3 linked regions of the Saccharomyces cerevisiae S288C genome follow. The gene in region 2 interacts genetically with the main gene of each other region. Each region holds a gene or a part of one and is shown on either strand. Other genes may lie near its edges.

Region 1 (4,149 bases), on a different chromosome or scaffold from region 2:
CAAGCACAGATTTCCTGTGGAACTTGAGCTGTCCGCCGGGCTTGCAAGGCGTTATGTGGTGGTCTTCGAAGATCGAGGACGTATTGGCAGGTGAAGTTTTCAGCAACTCTGCAGTAATAGCCTCCTTCGTACTCGTTGGCGTAGAGGTAATTTCCAACGCAGCGTCTGAGTAAGATATCATAGACATCGAATCATTAGAGTGAACTTTGCAATGGCTGGTGTTGCCACTGTTCTTGTGCTTTTTAGCAGCCTGCCTTTTGTTCTGAAACCATATTTGAACCGATTTTTCGGACATATTACATTGCTCGGATAACTCTATCCTTTTAGCCTTATTGGGCGTGGGACATTCGTCAAATGCTGTTTGCAATATCCCAAGCTCATATGATGAAGTTCTTCTTCTTTTCCGACGAGCTAACCGAGCATTGTCTATCTTAGGCTCCTTCTTTGGAAAAGTTTCCTGTGAGTGTGTAATAAAGGCAAATGACCTTTTCTTTTCTTTTCTTGTGGTTGGTGTGAGAACAGCCTTTGCAGCAGATAGAGGAGTAAGAATATTAACTTTTTTATAAGAGTGCATACTCTGAGGTGGCTGCTCTTTAGAACAGACTCTGACCGTTGGCGTGAATGGTGAATGAGAGCTCAGCTTCTTGGGCTTGGATAAAGGCGTCATGGAAGTGGTTACACGTTGTGATAAGAAATCCACAGCCTGTGGACTTTTCCTTTTTGGCCTTTCCTCATCGCAAGGACTTTTATAAATATTTACCACTGGTCTCACAATGTGCGCAGATGCAGCTAATGGTGGCAACCTGATGTCACCTTGGTCATCACTAGGGAAGTTTGTATTTGGCAAAGTATGCAGTTGGAAAGGCGAATTAGAAGTACCTGTAATAATGTTTGGTAAAGAAGGAAGCACGGTATTTCTGCTTTCCATGTTATATATATACGATATTTTGTGTTATTGTTATTTCCCTACAAATGCTAGTTACACTGGCTGGCGAGGGTAAAGAAGAAGATAATACGAATTATAATCTACGTTGGCAAGATCGGGAGGACGCCATATATATATTTATAAACATTCATCTGTGTGATCCAGATCAAACAAATAAACAATGAGTAAACGAAAAATCTGGCTGAAATGTCTCATGCTATTAACCCAATTCAGCATTGATATTAAAAATACCGACGTATCCCTGCACGGAAAGCGCGTCTGATGTTTACCATTCCGGGTTTTTGGCGCGCGTCATGTCCAAATTAGGACGTGGTTTATAGCCGAAAGAGGAAATGTGATCTGCCCACCTGTGCGGCCCTTCTCTGAGCGTTTCGAGCAGGATGCATAATATGCTCCCTTCGTACGGTAGAGGACAAATATGACCATTACCCGACTATTGAGGACATATGTCGTTATTAGAATTTAGCACCTTTAAAGTTATATTGCACTTTTAATTACCAAGATTCATTTGAGAGTGTAAAGGGTTTTATGGTAGAATACAAGTCAGAAGAAGGCTAAAATCAACAGATCAATATTTTTTTTGGTTGTTGGGTTGGAGAATTATAAAGTTTTTTTGATCTCCTTGTCTCCAGCTATTGTTTTCATTGAGTAGGGGTAGAGCTAGTTAGCTGCTTTTCGATGGTTGTAGTGGGTAAGAGTGAAGTGCGCAATGTAAGCATGAGTAGGCCGAAGAAGAAATCATTGATTGCCATCCTGTCGACCTGTGTTTTGTTTTTCCTCGTGTTTATAATTGGTGCTAAATTTCAATATGTTTCCGTTTTCTCCAAATTCTTAGATGACAGGGGGGACAACGAGTCACTTCAATTGCTCAATGACATAGAATTTACAAGGCTAGGACTGACACCTAGGGAGCCAGTAATTATCAAAGACGTAAAGACAGGGAAGGAGAGAAAATTACATGGACGGTTCCTTCATATTACCGATATTCATCCTGACCCTTATTATGTGGAAGGAAGCTCTATTGATGCAGTTTGTCACACAGGAAAACCAAGCAAAAAAAAGGATGTGGCACCCAAGTTTGGGAAGGCAATGTCTGGATGTGATTCTCCCGTTATTTTAATGGAAGAAACTCTGAGATGGATTAAAGAAAATCTTAGAGATAAGATTGATTTTGTCATTTGGACGGGTGATAATATCAGACATGACAATGACCGGAAACATCCAAGAACAGAAGCACAAATTTTTGATATGAACAATATCGTTGCTGATAAAATGACAGAATTATTTAGTGCTGGCAATGAAGAAGATCCAAGAGATTTTGATGTGTCTGTCATTCCAAGTCTTGGAAACAATGATGTCTTTCCACATAACATGTTTGCACTAGGACCAACTCTACAAACTAGAGAATATTATAGGATTTGGAAAAATTTTGTTCCGCAGCAGCAGCAAAGAACTTTTGATAGGAGTGCTTCATTTTTGACTGAAGTTATTCCAGGGAAGCTTGCTGTCCTGTCAATTAACACGCTGTACTTATTCAAGGCCAATCCGTTAGTTGACAATTGTAATTCAAAAAAAGAACCAGGTTACCAACTTTTACTTTGGTTCGGTTATGTATTAGAAGAACTAAGGAGTAGGGGAATGAAAGTATGGTTAAGTGGACATGTACCTCCAATCGCAAAAAATTTCGATCAGTCGTGCTACGATAAGTTCACGCTATGGACTCACGAATACAGGGATATAATCATTGGAGGATTATACGGTCACATGAATATTGACCACTTCATCCCAACGGATGGTAAAAAAGCTAGAAAATCGTTATTGAAAGCCATGGAGCAATCCACTCGTGTTCAACAAGGAGAAGACAGTAATGAAGAGGACGAAGAAACTGAATTGAATAGAATTCTGGATCACGCTATGGCGGCAAAAGAAGTTTTTTTAATGGGAGCGAAACCATCTAACAAAGAAGCATATATGAACACCGTCCGCGACACATACTATCGGAAAGTGTGGAATAAGCTGGAAAGAGTGGATGAAAAAAATGTTGAAAATGAGAAGAAAAAGAAAGAAAAGAAGGACAAAAAAAAGAAAAAGCCAATCACTAGAAAAGAGCTCATTGAACGCTATTCCATTGTGAACATAGGTGGTTCAGTCATTCCAACTTTCAATCCTTCCTTTAGGATCTGGGAATATAACATCACCGACATAGTGAATGACTCCAATTTTGCAGTTTCGGAGTATAAGCCCTGGGATGAATTTTTCGAGTCACTAAATAAGATTATGGAAGACTCTTTGCTAGAAGATGAAATGGACAGCAGTAATATCGAGGTTGGGATCAACCGCGAGAAGATGGGCGAAAAGAAAAACAAGAAGAAAAAGAAAAATGACAAGACTATGCCAATTGAGATGCCAGACAAATACGAACTCGGCCCTGCATATGTACCGCAGTTATTCACTCCGACGCGTTTCGTCCAATTCTACGCCGACTTGGAAAAAATCAATCAAGAATTACATAATTCATTTGTTGAATCTAAGGATATTTTCAGGTATGAGATAGAATATACCTCAGACGAGAAACCATACTCAATGGATTCGTTAACAGTAGGAAGTTATTTGGATCTTGCAGGCAGATTATACGAAAACAAACCTGCATGGGAAAAATACGTCGAATGGTCATTTGCGTCTTCTGGATATAAAGATGATTAAGTTAATATACACATAGAAATGCATATCATTCTTCAATTACAGTTTCTTTTTCTTTTGTTACACTATTCTTTCAAGTCAATTTCATAATAATACAAAACCATCTTTCTTATCATATATAGGGTGATGTATTTTTAATTATTTAATAGGGCCTAGCGTTATCGTGCGAAGATTAATTATTGGCATTTTTGAAATACTCCTTGGAATCTTTAACGTCAGGTTTGATGGTGGCGGCTCCTGGGGTCCAGTTGCATGGCAAAACTGTACCATTTTTGTCAGTCCACTGGAAACCTTCGACTAATCTCAAAGCTTCATTGACGTTTCTGCCAACAGATAAATCATTGATAGTGATATGTCTAATGATTCCCTTCGGGTCGATTATGAACAAACCTCTTAAAGCTATACCTTCTTTTTCAATCAAAACGCCATAGTCTCTGGATAAGGAATGATTCTTATCAGCAAGCAAAGGAACTTTAACTGGACCTAATCCACCGTCTTTTCTG
Region 2 (7,599 bases):
ATGGCTAGAGGACCGTATGTTGATTTCCACCTAAAAAAATGAAGAGTTGGCAAAACAAGATAATAGTTTTCTTTGAAGATGGGTACCCTCTCATGATTGGTACAAGTGATTTGCACCAAAGTGACGATGCGGACTAAAGAAAGAATATAAGAGTTGTGTTTATCTATCTGGAAGATAGAATTCTGATGAGAAACTTTATCCTTGTTAAGTAACAGATAAGCATTGCGGGATATTTTTACTAACAAGAGTACGTTTAATAATGTTAATACGATTTTTCATATAGAAAGAAGCATCTAAAGAGATTAGCAGCTCCACACCATTGGTTATTGGACAAGTTGTCCGGTTGTTACGCCCCAAGACCATCTGCTGGTCCACACAAATTGCGTGAATCCTTGCCATTGATTGTCTTTCTAAGAAACAGATTAAAGTATGCTTTGAACGGCCGTGAAGTCAAGGCTATCTTGATGCAACGTCACGTCAAAGTTGACGGTAAGGTTAGAACTGACACCACCTACCCAGCTGGTTTCATGGACGTCATCACTCTAGATGCCACCAATGAAAACTTCAGATTGGTCTACGATGTCAAGGGTAGATTCGCTGTCCACCGTATCACCGATGAAGAAGCCTCTTACAAATTGGGTAAGGTCAAGAAGGTCCAATTAGGTAAGAAGGGTGTTCCATACGTTGTTACCCACGATGGTAGAACTATCAGATACCCAGACCCAAACATCAAGGTCAATGACACTGTTAAGATTGATTTGGCCTCTGGTAAGATTACTGATTTCATCAAGTTCGATGCCGGTAAGTTGGTTTACGTTACTGGTGGTCGTAACTTGGGTCGTATCGGTACTATCGTTCACAAGGAAAGACACGATGGTGGTTTCGATTTGGTTCACATCAAGGACTCCTTGGACAACACTTTCGTCACTAGATTGAACAATGTCTTCGTCATTGGTGAACAAGGTAAGCCTTACATTTCTTTGCCAAAGGGTAAGGGTATCAAGTTGTCTATTGCTGAAGAACGTGACAGAAGAAGAGCTCAACAAGGTTTGTAAACATTTTAAATATTGTTATCTGCCCTCTCTTCGTCTTTTGTTTAATATAAATAAATTCTAAATCAACTATATATATGTATGTATACATATACATATACATATATCAATTATAAAAAAAGTGACAAGCATTATACATACAATTTTTCTTTTTTTTTCATGAAATGTGTAACCAGTGTGCCTCATTAGAGACAGGGACGAGAGAGCAAAGGTGCAATTTCCGCTGCAAATGAACTTTTTTAAACGATGTGCATAAATAAATAAAAAAAATGGCAGAATACTCTAAAATTGAGAAAAGTAATCCCGTAATAACTTTTTGGTTGAATCACCACCATAATGGGAGCAGTCATTGGTGGTCAAGTTCTCCATACGTAATCCTAAATCATTTATGATAGAATTTACGGCGTTTAATATATCGAGTTCCATAAAGGAATAGAAGATAACATGAACCATCTTCGACGGATCAGCTTCCTCTTCTTGCACTTTCTTCACCTCTTTACATTGCACTACATTGGGGATATCGTATTCTCTTTGTGAATTGTGAGGTGTGTCATCACCATGACACCCGAAATCGTCTTCTGTGGTGTAGCCTTCGCTTAAATTTGGATTATTGATGAAGGGACACTTCTGAAAACCGCCAAAATGCTGTTTGTGATGAGACGATGATGGTATTCCTAATGAGGCAATGACAGGGCCCTTGTTCAAATAGGTTTCCACCCTGGAGGCAACGACCAATGGAACTGTGATGAAGCGCCAATCATTATTGAATGGCATCACTATATACTCAGTATCCTTTGTAAATGGGCCTTTGTAAAGATCGTACCTGACAGAGCCAGTGTTAATCAAAATGAAACGACTCATCGAAGGTTCATAGTTTTTGGGAGGAATTAAATTGGGTAAAATCTTATGCGTGATCAAATGATAAAGATTCTCTTCGGAGTTTAATGGCCTTGTTGAAACGTAGTAAGTTTGAGGAATGTACCCCAGTTTCTCGTTCAAATTTAGTTCATGGCGCAGATCATTCACCAAACGAGAAATAGTTTTACCCTTTTTCGTTGAGACTGGAACATTCGAGTCATGCCCTAGTTTGCTCAAATGGTATTTGAAAGCTTCCTTGTTAAAGTCAATATACCTTCTTGAGAAAATAGGACTTTCGGCGTCCACAGGGTCAGTCATATTAATTGACAAGAATCCCACAGTTTCCGCAAATCTACCACTTTGTAAACAAGTAGATTTTGAGTCCAGCTGTACAAAATCCCTGATATGAGTGTGCCCTCCAAAATATTGTATAACAGTATTTGGGTAGTATTTCCTTATTAGAGCATGAATTTTGTGCATTTCACGCTCTGTAGGGTCAGTGGCAGGCAAATGACCAAAGACAATAATTAGGTCGATTTCCTCCTCTCTGTTTGTCTCAACCATATTTTGGAACCAGCTTTTTTGAGTTATTTCTTCCAATGGTGGTGTTACGATGGCTCTGTTATTTGCTCTTTGAAAACTAAACAAAAATGATAATGCCAGGACTCTTTGTTTCATTATGGGAGTCTCGAATGTAATGTATTTATTCCCGAAAGGAACCCTTGTTCCGTCATCTTCAATAAATTCTACGTTGCTGCAAACATATTTGTCTTTGAATTTTGAGGACTGAGAAGTTCCTCTATACTCTAGTATGGCACTTTCAGCTGTATATAGCTCATGATTACCTAACGTTAAAAGATCGTAATCCATCATGTTGAATATCTCCGAGCTTCGTAGGCCGGGGGGCCAAGTAGCATCACTCAAACCATTACCGTCTCGTTTGTCGCCAGTGTCGATGACTATTACGTCTCTGGACTGTCGTAAAATTTTTTCTCTAAGTATATCTACAAATGCAACGAAATCTCCCCAGTCAGCATCATAGTCGTTTTGTGATAGATGGGACCCCAACCAGCCATGAGTATCGGTTGTATGGATAAAATTTATATCCCCTATATGGATATCTCTTAATGGTACATCCTGCGACGGCGCTAAAACTGCCTGTTGTTGTTGATACGGCTTTGCAAAGATTAATCCTGTAAGAGCAACTAAACAGTGTACAAGCTTTAGTATCATTTTACACTGTTGCGCACACCTTTATTGCATTCACTCTCTTTGTTATTGCTGTAGTTCTTGTTGACGGCTTGAGGGGAAATAAGCTTATCGGCTTTTGCAATTGGCGGCTAGTTGGCGAAAGAGCGACTGATCGATAAGGACACTAAAGTAAAAAATAATATTAAAGATATACTGTAGAAATGTTTCATTATGGTTGTAATAATAATTTTACGTCATGCAATGGTTCAGATAGAAAGTTCGAGTTTGCTCTGGAACACAATTGTTTGTTTTCCTGCTTTCAAGTTAGTGCCATCTACTCTCTAACTACGGACGCCTTTACCGAAACCTATCTAGACAAATGTGTCTTTCTTGGAATAATATGAGCGTATATATGATAACGTTCGGGTGAACCTAATGCCTTGGTTCCTTACTCTATTTTGATCACTTCCTTTTTCGTTCGTTTATACATTTTGTTTCTTTTTACCAATATTCAACTTCTGAACACATAGATTTTAATTAAGATACAATTTGGCGAACTTAATTTGCAAACGATTTTACATGTAAGAAATTGTTGTACTGAAATCTTGATGTTAAAAAGTGTATGACTTTTACAACCTTTAGCAAGTATAATGGTTTGTGAAAAGAACCGTAAAATATAATCGTCATCTTAATAAGTTGCTAATGAATGATCACTGAAATTTCTACAGCAACAAAATTTATAACTCAAGTACAGTCGTGTTTTGCTTTCACTACGATCAATAGTATTATTATTACCGATGATTCCACTGTTAGTGTTATTATATTCAAGAGTGTACACTTCTCGCTAAGTAATGAAGAAATTTGCACATCTCATGTGTACACTCATTATACAAGATCACTTTCAACAAGCATTGAGTCACTAGAAAATTACAAATTATTTTCCCAGGAGGTGTAAAATGGCATATGTTTCTGCTGTCCTTGAAAAAAGTATGGAATAACCAGAAGCTTTGATAGAAAACGCCGAGGATAATACTCTGTGTAAAGCTCTAACCTTCATTCATTTTGTCACATTATCCACCTACTTGAATTCTAATTTAGAATACGAGTCGAAATAGTCTCGAAGAATAACTCACAACCTTTTTCCTATTATCTGTATGCTATACATGCCGCTGATTTTTCATTTTTTTCACTTTTAAGAGTAGAAAAAAGAAACGAAGTGTACATAATTAACTAAAGCCACTTGAAACAAATAATCAAAAAGTTCAAAACACCGATTGTTAAGAAAGATGTCGCCTTTGAGAAAGACGGTTCCTGAATTTTTGGCACACTTAAAATCACTGCCAATTTCAAAAATTGCAAGCAACGATGTGTTAACAATATGTGTTGGTAACGAGTCAGCAGATATGGACTCAATTGCTAGTGCAATCACTTATTCGTACTGCCAATACATATATAATGAAGGTACTTACTCGGAGGAGAAAAAGAAAGGAAGCTTTATTGTCCCAATTATCGACATTCCTAGAGAAGACCTCAGTTTAAGAAGAGACGTAATGTATGTCCTAGAAAAACTGAAAATTAAGGAGGAGGAATTATTCTTCATTGAAGATTTAAAGAGCTTGAAGCAAAATGTCTCCCAGGGTACTGAATTAAACTCTTACTTGGTAGATAATAACGATACACCAAAGAATTTGAAAAATTATATAGATAACGTCGTTGGCATTATAGACCACCATTTTGACTTGCAAAAACATTTGGATGCTGAACCTCGGATTGTAAAAGTGTCCGGCAGTTGCTCATCGCTGGTTTTTAACTACTGGTATGAAAAATTGCAAGGTGACCGTGAAGTGGTGATGAACATTGCACCACTTTTGATGGGGGCCATCTTAATAGACACTTCAAATATGAGGCGCAAAGTCGAGGAAAGTGATAAATTAGCTATCGAGAGATGCCAAGCTGTTCTTAGTGGTGCGGTTAATGAAGTGTCTGCGCAAGGTTTAGAGGACAGCAGTGAGTTTTATAAAGAGATAAAATCAAGAAAGAACGATATTAAAGGATTTTCGGTAAGCGATATTCTAAAGAAGGACTACAAACAATTCAATTTCCAAGGAAAGGGACACAAAGGGTTAGAGATTGGTCTTTCATCAATAGTAAAAAGAATGTCTTGGCTATTCAATGAACACGGTGGTGAAGCAGATTTCGTCAACCAATGCAGAAGATTTCAGGCGGAGAGGGGGCTCGATGTATTGGTTCTGTTGACTTCATGGAGGAAAGCTGGTGATTCACACAGAGAATTGGTCATATTGGGAGACTCTAACGTGGTACGTGAACTCATTGAAAGGGTTAGCGACAAGCTCCAACTTCAATTATTTGGGGGCAATCTTGATGGAGGTGTGGCGATGTTTAAGCAACTGAACGTCGAGGCCACCAGAAAGCAAGTCGTCCCCTATTTAGAGGAAGCGTACTCAAACCTGGAAGAGTGAAGGGAGATGTTATATATGCTTTATTTGGTTTATATATGACCCATATAGATATTTTTGTACACTACTATTTGTCTTGGTGTTGTTCAGGCTGTTCAGACTGCTCAGGCTGATCTTGTTGTTGTTGCTGCTGTCTTAACCTTTCCTGTCTTTGCTGCTCTTCTTCCATAGACAGACGCAAGGCCATTGCCAGTTCTGGGTCCATTGATGGGTCTACCCCGAAGTCCATAAATGTGCCATTGGCATCGGAATCACCGCCAGACCCACCAAAGGCGCCCATACCGGAGGATCCTTCTTCGAGAATTATGGGTGAAGATGCGATGTTCTCGTACAGCAGTCTGGGGCCAGGCGTCACAGTAAGCAAATGACTAGTTTCTTCTTGAGGGTTGTTCACTGCAGCTATGAACTCATCCAAAAGCTCCGTGTTCTGTTCAATCTCTCCAAAATTGATGATGTCCACGGCAACATTATTCTTTTTCAGTGTTTTTGCCAATCTGATCAATTCGTCTCGAGAATCACTTATTGGGCTACACACAAATGCCACAATCCTTTGATGTTGGACCTTATTCTGGCGATGCTTCAAAGTCAGCTGAGCGATCTGCAACGCAGTGGCCATATGCAGCTTACCCTCGATCTGCGTGTCGTGTAGTCCAGCAAGAATCTTCCCAAACTCGGCGGTAAACGTAGATAACACCCTGGGGTTGGCGCCAGCACCAGAGATAAGACCCACTGTATTCTCAGGATTGCTGTTTCTCTTGGCTTGAAATATGAACTCTACCGAGTCGATCTGGGCTTCAAACCTTGTCCTAGGAAAGTCGCCATTGCGAGAGTACTCTGAATTATCAATCACTAACACTGTAGCTTCCAATACCATTGTGCGGTTACTGCTGAGTTATTTATTGACTTTTCCCTTCTTTCTTTACGCTTTAAAAGTCTGATATAAGTGTGTATTTAGTTGTAAATTCCGGTGGCGAAAACCCGCCTGGCGGAAATAACCCGGCAGCTATAATGCCATATAACTTCAAGAGAATACAATTGTAAACAAGAAGTGGCAACAACATCAGCAAAAGGGCAGCTGCCGCACTCGGTTACGATGATACCGGCTCTCACTCCCGAAGAACGGCAGAAGTTGCGCAGCGCAATACTACATCGAATGCAGCTGGAACGTATGTCACCTCACCGCAACACTCTACCCCCAACCTTCACCCGCACTAATTACTAACACAACCTCAGTGGAAACAACAGAAAAACTGATCGAAAATATTAAAGAGGAGACGTTAAAGAAACTAAATCTGCTCCAGCAGCCTGATGCAACATCAGCGCCTCAATCAAAGGAACTAATCAGAGAGGTGCTTGAACAGGAAGGACGCCGTATAGAATGATTAGTTCGTATAATGGACCCTTTCTCGGTATTCGCAATGATGCACCTATTACTAATCAGCGGCCGATTTGTTGGTATTAAAGCAGCGTGTGGTTACATCCCCTTGTTGAATACATGTCTACTTAGCAGAAGGCCAGGTATATGGAAACATGCGTTTAATCAGTAAAGTTTTGGTGAAAACAAATTGCCTAGAGGTAGGTATGAGGAGGGCCCCACAATGGTATTCTCACTACTCTACTACAGCGGGCAATGCTCGTGTGAACAAGAAGGGCAGCAAAGTAGTGCCTGTGTTAACAGGGTTAGCACTGGCATCCATATTCGCGAAGAAATGGTATGACGATTCCCAGATCAAAAAGGCGGATGCCACCAGCGTTGCAGTGGACGCATCCATCTCTGCGTTCCCTAAGAAGATGGGCCCCCCACAGTGGCCCTTCTCCACGCAATATGAGCTGATTGGTAAGGGTGTACGTTGTGTCTCATCGATCACTTTCAAAGCATATGGTCTGGGCATATATGTGGCCGCTGAAGACAAACATCTGGTCTCTGAAGTACTGGACTCAAAGTTCCTGTCTCAGGCGTTCATCGACACTGCGGCACCCCCATCACCGGAAAACTCACATCAGGATAATTTGCGTGCGGC
Region 3 (4,826 bases), on a different chromosome or scaffold from region 2:
TGTTCAATCCCCGACGATGCTTCGAGCTTTGCAGACGATTTTAATATATACGATAGTACTGATGGGGGGACGTTATCAAGAGCCCAAACATTGCATGCTGTCCATGGAGTTGTGGTTAGAACAGATCCTGATCGTTATTCGAGGCTAAGTGTGTAACGAATCTGAGTCCTTTTTAGTTAGCACGTTTTCATCTCTTTTTGATAGCACGCTTAATAATATTCACCACTAGCGCAGTAATATGGCATCTGCCGCAGGTGTAAAGGTTTTCACTTCGCTTATATTCACAATACTATGCGTTCAAACACGGCCATCAGAAAAGATCAAAATAAGGATTATTAATTAAAAACTTAAACAGAAATTCAGTTTGCAACACCCTTCGCAATGGCGAAGTTTCCAAAAACAAAATCTCCAAACAAGATTAACATTCTTCTTATGTAACCACATGATATGCATATTTTATATAGACTGTACACATGAAAAACTTTTATCGTCCAAAATAATTAAAAGAAAATTTCAATCATACCATAGCACACTGTTCCAGTAACTGAGAAAAACATTGTGAAGCAACCAACATAATGCCAGATTGGCGCCAAAGTGAACCGACTAAATAACAACAACAGGCACGCACAGATCAAAATAAGGGAAACCAGTAAGGAAATGATAATAATGGCTATGAGAATATTTTGAATTTCTAAATCTATCTCATTATTACTTTGCCCGCGAAACAAGGATAAAACGATTCCCAGACATACACTTGCCATAATGCAAGATGTTAGCAGTGCAGACAAGTATAAAAATGTAACAACTTCGTCATGCCTATATTCGTAGATAGATTGTGAGTCCTCTATGTCTTGCTGTTGATACTGTAAGTACCTTTGAACGTCATCATATGACGCTGAAGTTGATTGTGAACCAAATGACGCAACAGAACCATAGTTAGTTGATGAACAATGCGGATGCTTAGAGTTTTGAAACAAATCTGGCGATGTTTTCTTGTCATGGCGAATCAAGTTTCGTAACTTCTCACAAAAATCATATGTGCGGTTGATGAAATTCCGGCTAAACAAAATAAACCCATAATCAGGCGGAGAATTTCTCAAAAGTAAGGATTCTTCGTTATCTGTTGTACTCCTGCTTCCATTAGTATCAATGTAAAAAGCATTGTCTAAATTATCCTCTTCTTGTTCATCAAATTCATTCCAATACCTAATAGGTTTCTTTTTAGTTTCATTATCCGATTGCTTTGATTTTTTGTGAATTCGAACTCTTCTGCCGCTGTCAACACTACCTTGTGAGTTGTTTATCGGCCCAGTCAGGTCAAACTCTTCCTCTAGACGATCCTTGCCCAGCTGGAAAAATTCATCAGGTGATAGCGAATCATCGGAATTTAATTTATATTGATCTCTTAGTAAAAGTTGAAATAAATCATTTTGCAATTCATTTGAGTGTACTAATTCTAAACATATTTTCCATGTGGTTAAGTCTGGTGGTATTAAGCTGCATTGAAACTCATTTGTAACAACTGATTTCATTAACTGTTTAAACTTATTGTCTTCATTAATAGCCGTCTGTGAAAGACCACTGGATCGACTAAGCTTTTTAATTTCTAAAATTGGAAAGGGTAATGTAGATACATTTCCAATAGTGATAGATTCATCCAAAGCTATCAAGTATATATCTCCATTGTCTGCTGATATGAATCTTGTTCTTTTAAAATCTAGCTTTGGTTCAATGGTTTTTAATCGATGGGACTGAATCCACTCCAAAGCGATCTTACTGATTGGCGATGGATCCAGTGAGTTTATGAGAGCGCTAATATTTTTTGTGTCGTTGCCACTCCTCATGGCCGAAAGAATATTCTTTACATCCCTTAGAAGCAGATCATTTGTGACAACATGATTTCTTAAGCCGCCCACGTGGCACATTACTATACAAGTATCCTCAGCAGTAGAGCTGACTATCATGTTTGGGTGCTGATTTATATTATCATCAGTAAGTAGTAAAGGACTGCCTTCGTTCCCGACAGTATCTAGTATACTAATAGAAACGTACTTCTCATTGGATTGTACAGCAGAGGGTAATATGTTCTTCTGTTTAGATAGGGATAAGGTATGTTGTAAGTCATTGAATGACTTTGCTGATCTTATAGATTTGTTGCCCGCAGAATTAATATTATCTGTAGTGTCTAAAATCTCCTTTGAAGTGGATATGATGCTATCGTCAATTATCCTAAAACCAATATTCAATAGCATGAACTTCAGTCCCTCTATGTCCTCGGACGATAATAAAAACCTTCCTAGATTCTCTGCTTTATCTATGAGGGCAGTATCGAATTCTAGCGAAGAATCAATCATTTTTGAAGTTTTCTTGTTTGAAAGTAGCGGAATTGACCTTGGAGATGCTGGCAAGGAAGAATTGTTGGCTTCTGGACTTGAACTTGTATGGGCAGATTCATCGGAGCGGTTTAGGGATCTTTGCTCCACTGCTGGCTCAGTTGCATCTTCAAGTTTATTTTCCAAATCATGTAAAACATCAACAATTAGCGAAACTTCTAAAAGATATGGATCTAAATCAAGCTTCATAAATGATATGCCTTCGTGTCCATTTCGTAAACTTTCAGAGTTTCTGATCGACGTAACATACTCACTTGCAGTCAATGGATTTTCACTGTCTTGAGGAAATTCATTTAGTAATTTTTTGAATAACTTTCTCAAGGCAATCCTTTGTATTATCAAAAACCTTGACAGTAGTTGTAGTTCAAAGTTACAATCGTCTACATGAGCGTTGATGATTTTCAGTTTACGAAGGTTGAAACGGTTTCTGGAAGTTTTGTTTAAGCCCTTTGAAAAATCGATTATTGATGATTCCACAGAAAGAATACGAGTGGAAATTTCCTTTATTTTCAAAGAAACAAATAAATTAACATTTTGAAATTCCTGGTCAAAGGCTACTGAACATTGATTCAACAACTTCTCCATGCCCGAATCATTTGGATTGTCATAATCATAAGCCGTTACTTTTTTTATGGCTACTTTTAACTTCTCATAGTTAATATTGTAGAATTTCCATTCAGGGATTGATTTATTCAATATGCGATCTTCAAATTTCATGATTGTACAACCCTTCGTATCTATCCTTACCTAGGGCTGAGATGGAGATATACAAAAAAAAAGCAAAGGTAAAAAGCAAGTATTAAACTCTATCTCTATTATATTCAAGAGGGCAACGGACGAACTATTAATTTATGAATTTTAAAAGTCCTTTGATAGCGTTCACGATAGGGCTTTTTGATCTTGCCTTTGTTTATCTTTTTATCTGTTTTGTTTTTTTTTTTTTTTTTTTCTTGGTTCAGTTTTGACTCTTCCACACACCCATTTCGCTAGCGTAGAACAAGGGGAGACACAAACTTTCTTTTCCTTGCAAGTTAATAACACAACACCCGTCCTCCTGCACTGAATTTACACAGAAGTTAAGAACCGCCTCTGCTTTTCTGGTATTATTTTGCAGCCTTGCCTAAAAAAAGTGTGGTAATTTTTGAGAATAATATATTACTGTGTTTTTCGAAACGAAAGTTCTGAATATTGGCTTGGTCGCTTCCTGATATCTGGAAACTTGTTTAATGTTTTTAATTATCAGTCTTCAAAGCGTCCTGATATGACTTGCCACGTTTCCATCCATTCTATATGTAGTTTAAATACAATGAGATAAAGGGTGCCTGCATGGAACTTTCCATTCGAAAAAAGAGATCATAAACCTTATCTGTCAAATAAAAGCCAATCTATTTGATTAGGTAAAAAAAGTGATGTCAGACCAAAGTGCCCCTCTCCTGCAATGATCATCGATTACGTACGGGTGTAATGATCACGACAGTAAAGTGAGCAAGGTAACTACTATCCCTAAGTGCGGCGTCATTGTAAGTCTACGACGTAGCATATTCAGTTTACTGTACAAGAAAAGTTTTCTCTCTGTAACAAGAGGAAATTGGTTAGCTTTCTACGCTTACTTCGTTTGGTACGATCAGTAAAGGTGAATAAATTAAGATCCACGCCTTCATATGGCAGGATCCACGATATTCCTTGCAATACCCCTGGATAATTCAAAAACCAAATGTTACACGGTATACTTGAAAATCGATACCATATTAGGAACACACCGGCCAAAGGTTGATAATACTTGGTATGAGATAAAACCCGAGCTCAAGGTTTAATGTTAAAATTTTTTGTATATATATATATATAGTAATGGGCTCGGTTGCAAATTTTTATGACTATCTTGAAACTAGTTGAAATTGCAAGAACCGTCACTCTATGGAGTACATGAACAACTAAAAAATAGCTTGAAGATACTTGCCACTCCATGCCATTTCTAGAAAGGGGTCTCTTGAGAAATGTGTGTTAAAATAACGGTTATATAGTTGGAAAGAATATTACTATTTTGCGATTAAGGGATGCCGTATGGCAGGCAAGGAAGTATTTGATCAAGAATACCGATTAATGAAGCATGTTTGCCATTATCGTTGAACCTTGGTATTTCTCAGGTTTCCTTATCGATACGATAGGAATGAGAATCAACTAACATTTATCGACTACAATTCATTATTACTACTATATTATCAAATGCTCTGCAAGGAGATGACCAAAAAGAAATGAGAAACAGTCTTCATCTCAAAATATAGGCAATTACCAGGTATACGATATTTCCTCAAAATGAAAATGCCTAAAATACGACAGAAAAACTTAGGGTGACGACTTTTTAACTAATCACTGAATGCAGCCGAAGCAAGTAATTATTTCCCTCGTTGCTACTCATTGAGGCCGCTCCATATG

What was found. Genes that interact genetically often act in the same process or in processes that back each other up.
Region 1: of PPX1 (region 2) and PPN1, changing one enhances a phenotype caused by changing the other (phenotypic enhancement), as found in Saccharomyces cerevisiae (one study listed by BioGRID).
Region 3: of PPX1 (region 2) and VTC5, changing one suppresses a phenotype caused by changing the other (phenotypic suppression), as found in Saccharomyces cerevisiae (one study listed by BioGRID).

Annotation. Positions count from the first base shown.
Region 1 is NC_001136.10:1,361,254-1,365,402, forward strand, and holds PPN1 (endopolyphosphatase), read left to right. Parts: upstream 1-1,624; coding exon 1,625-3,649; downstream 3,650-4,149. Other genes in the region: YHP1 (Yhp1p), read right to left, coding at 1-928; thioredoxin peroxidase TSA2, read right to left, coding at 3,819-4,149. UniProt on the Saccharomyces cerevisiae protein: Catalyzes the hydrolysis of inorganic polyphosphate (polyP) chains of many hundreds of phosphate residues into shorter lengths.
Region 2 is NC_001140.6:497,932-505,530, reverse strand, and holds PPX1 (exopolyphosphatase), read left to right. Parts: upstream 1-4,387; coding exon 4,388-5,581; downstream 5,582-7,599. Other genes in the region: 40S ribosomal protein eS4 RPS4B, read left to right, coding at 1-14, 284-1,055; SMN1 (Smn1p), read right to left, coding at 1,335-3,143; proteasome regulatory particle base subunit RPN10, read right to left, coding at 5,646-6,452; NBL1 (borealin), read left to right, coding at 6,672-6,744, 6,812-6,960; AIM46 (Aim46p), read left to right, coding at 7,109-7,599. UniProt on the Saccharomyces cerevisiae protein: Polyphosphatase (polyPase) involved in the degradation of inorganic polyphosphates (polyP) that is able to degrade a range of chains from three to several hundreds of residues in a highly processive manner.
Region 3 is NC_001136.10:620,396-625,221, reverse strand, and holds VTC5 (Vtc5p), read right to left. Parts: upstream 3,111-4,826; coding exon 501-3,110; downstream 1-500. Other genes in the region: ILT1 (Ilt1p), read left to right, coding at 1-156. UniProt on the Saccharomyces cerevisiae protein: Regulatory subunit of the vacuolar transporter chaperone (VTC) complex.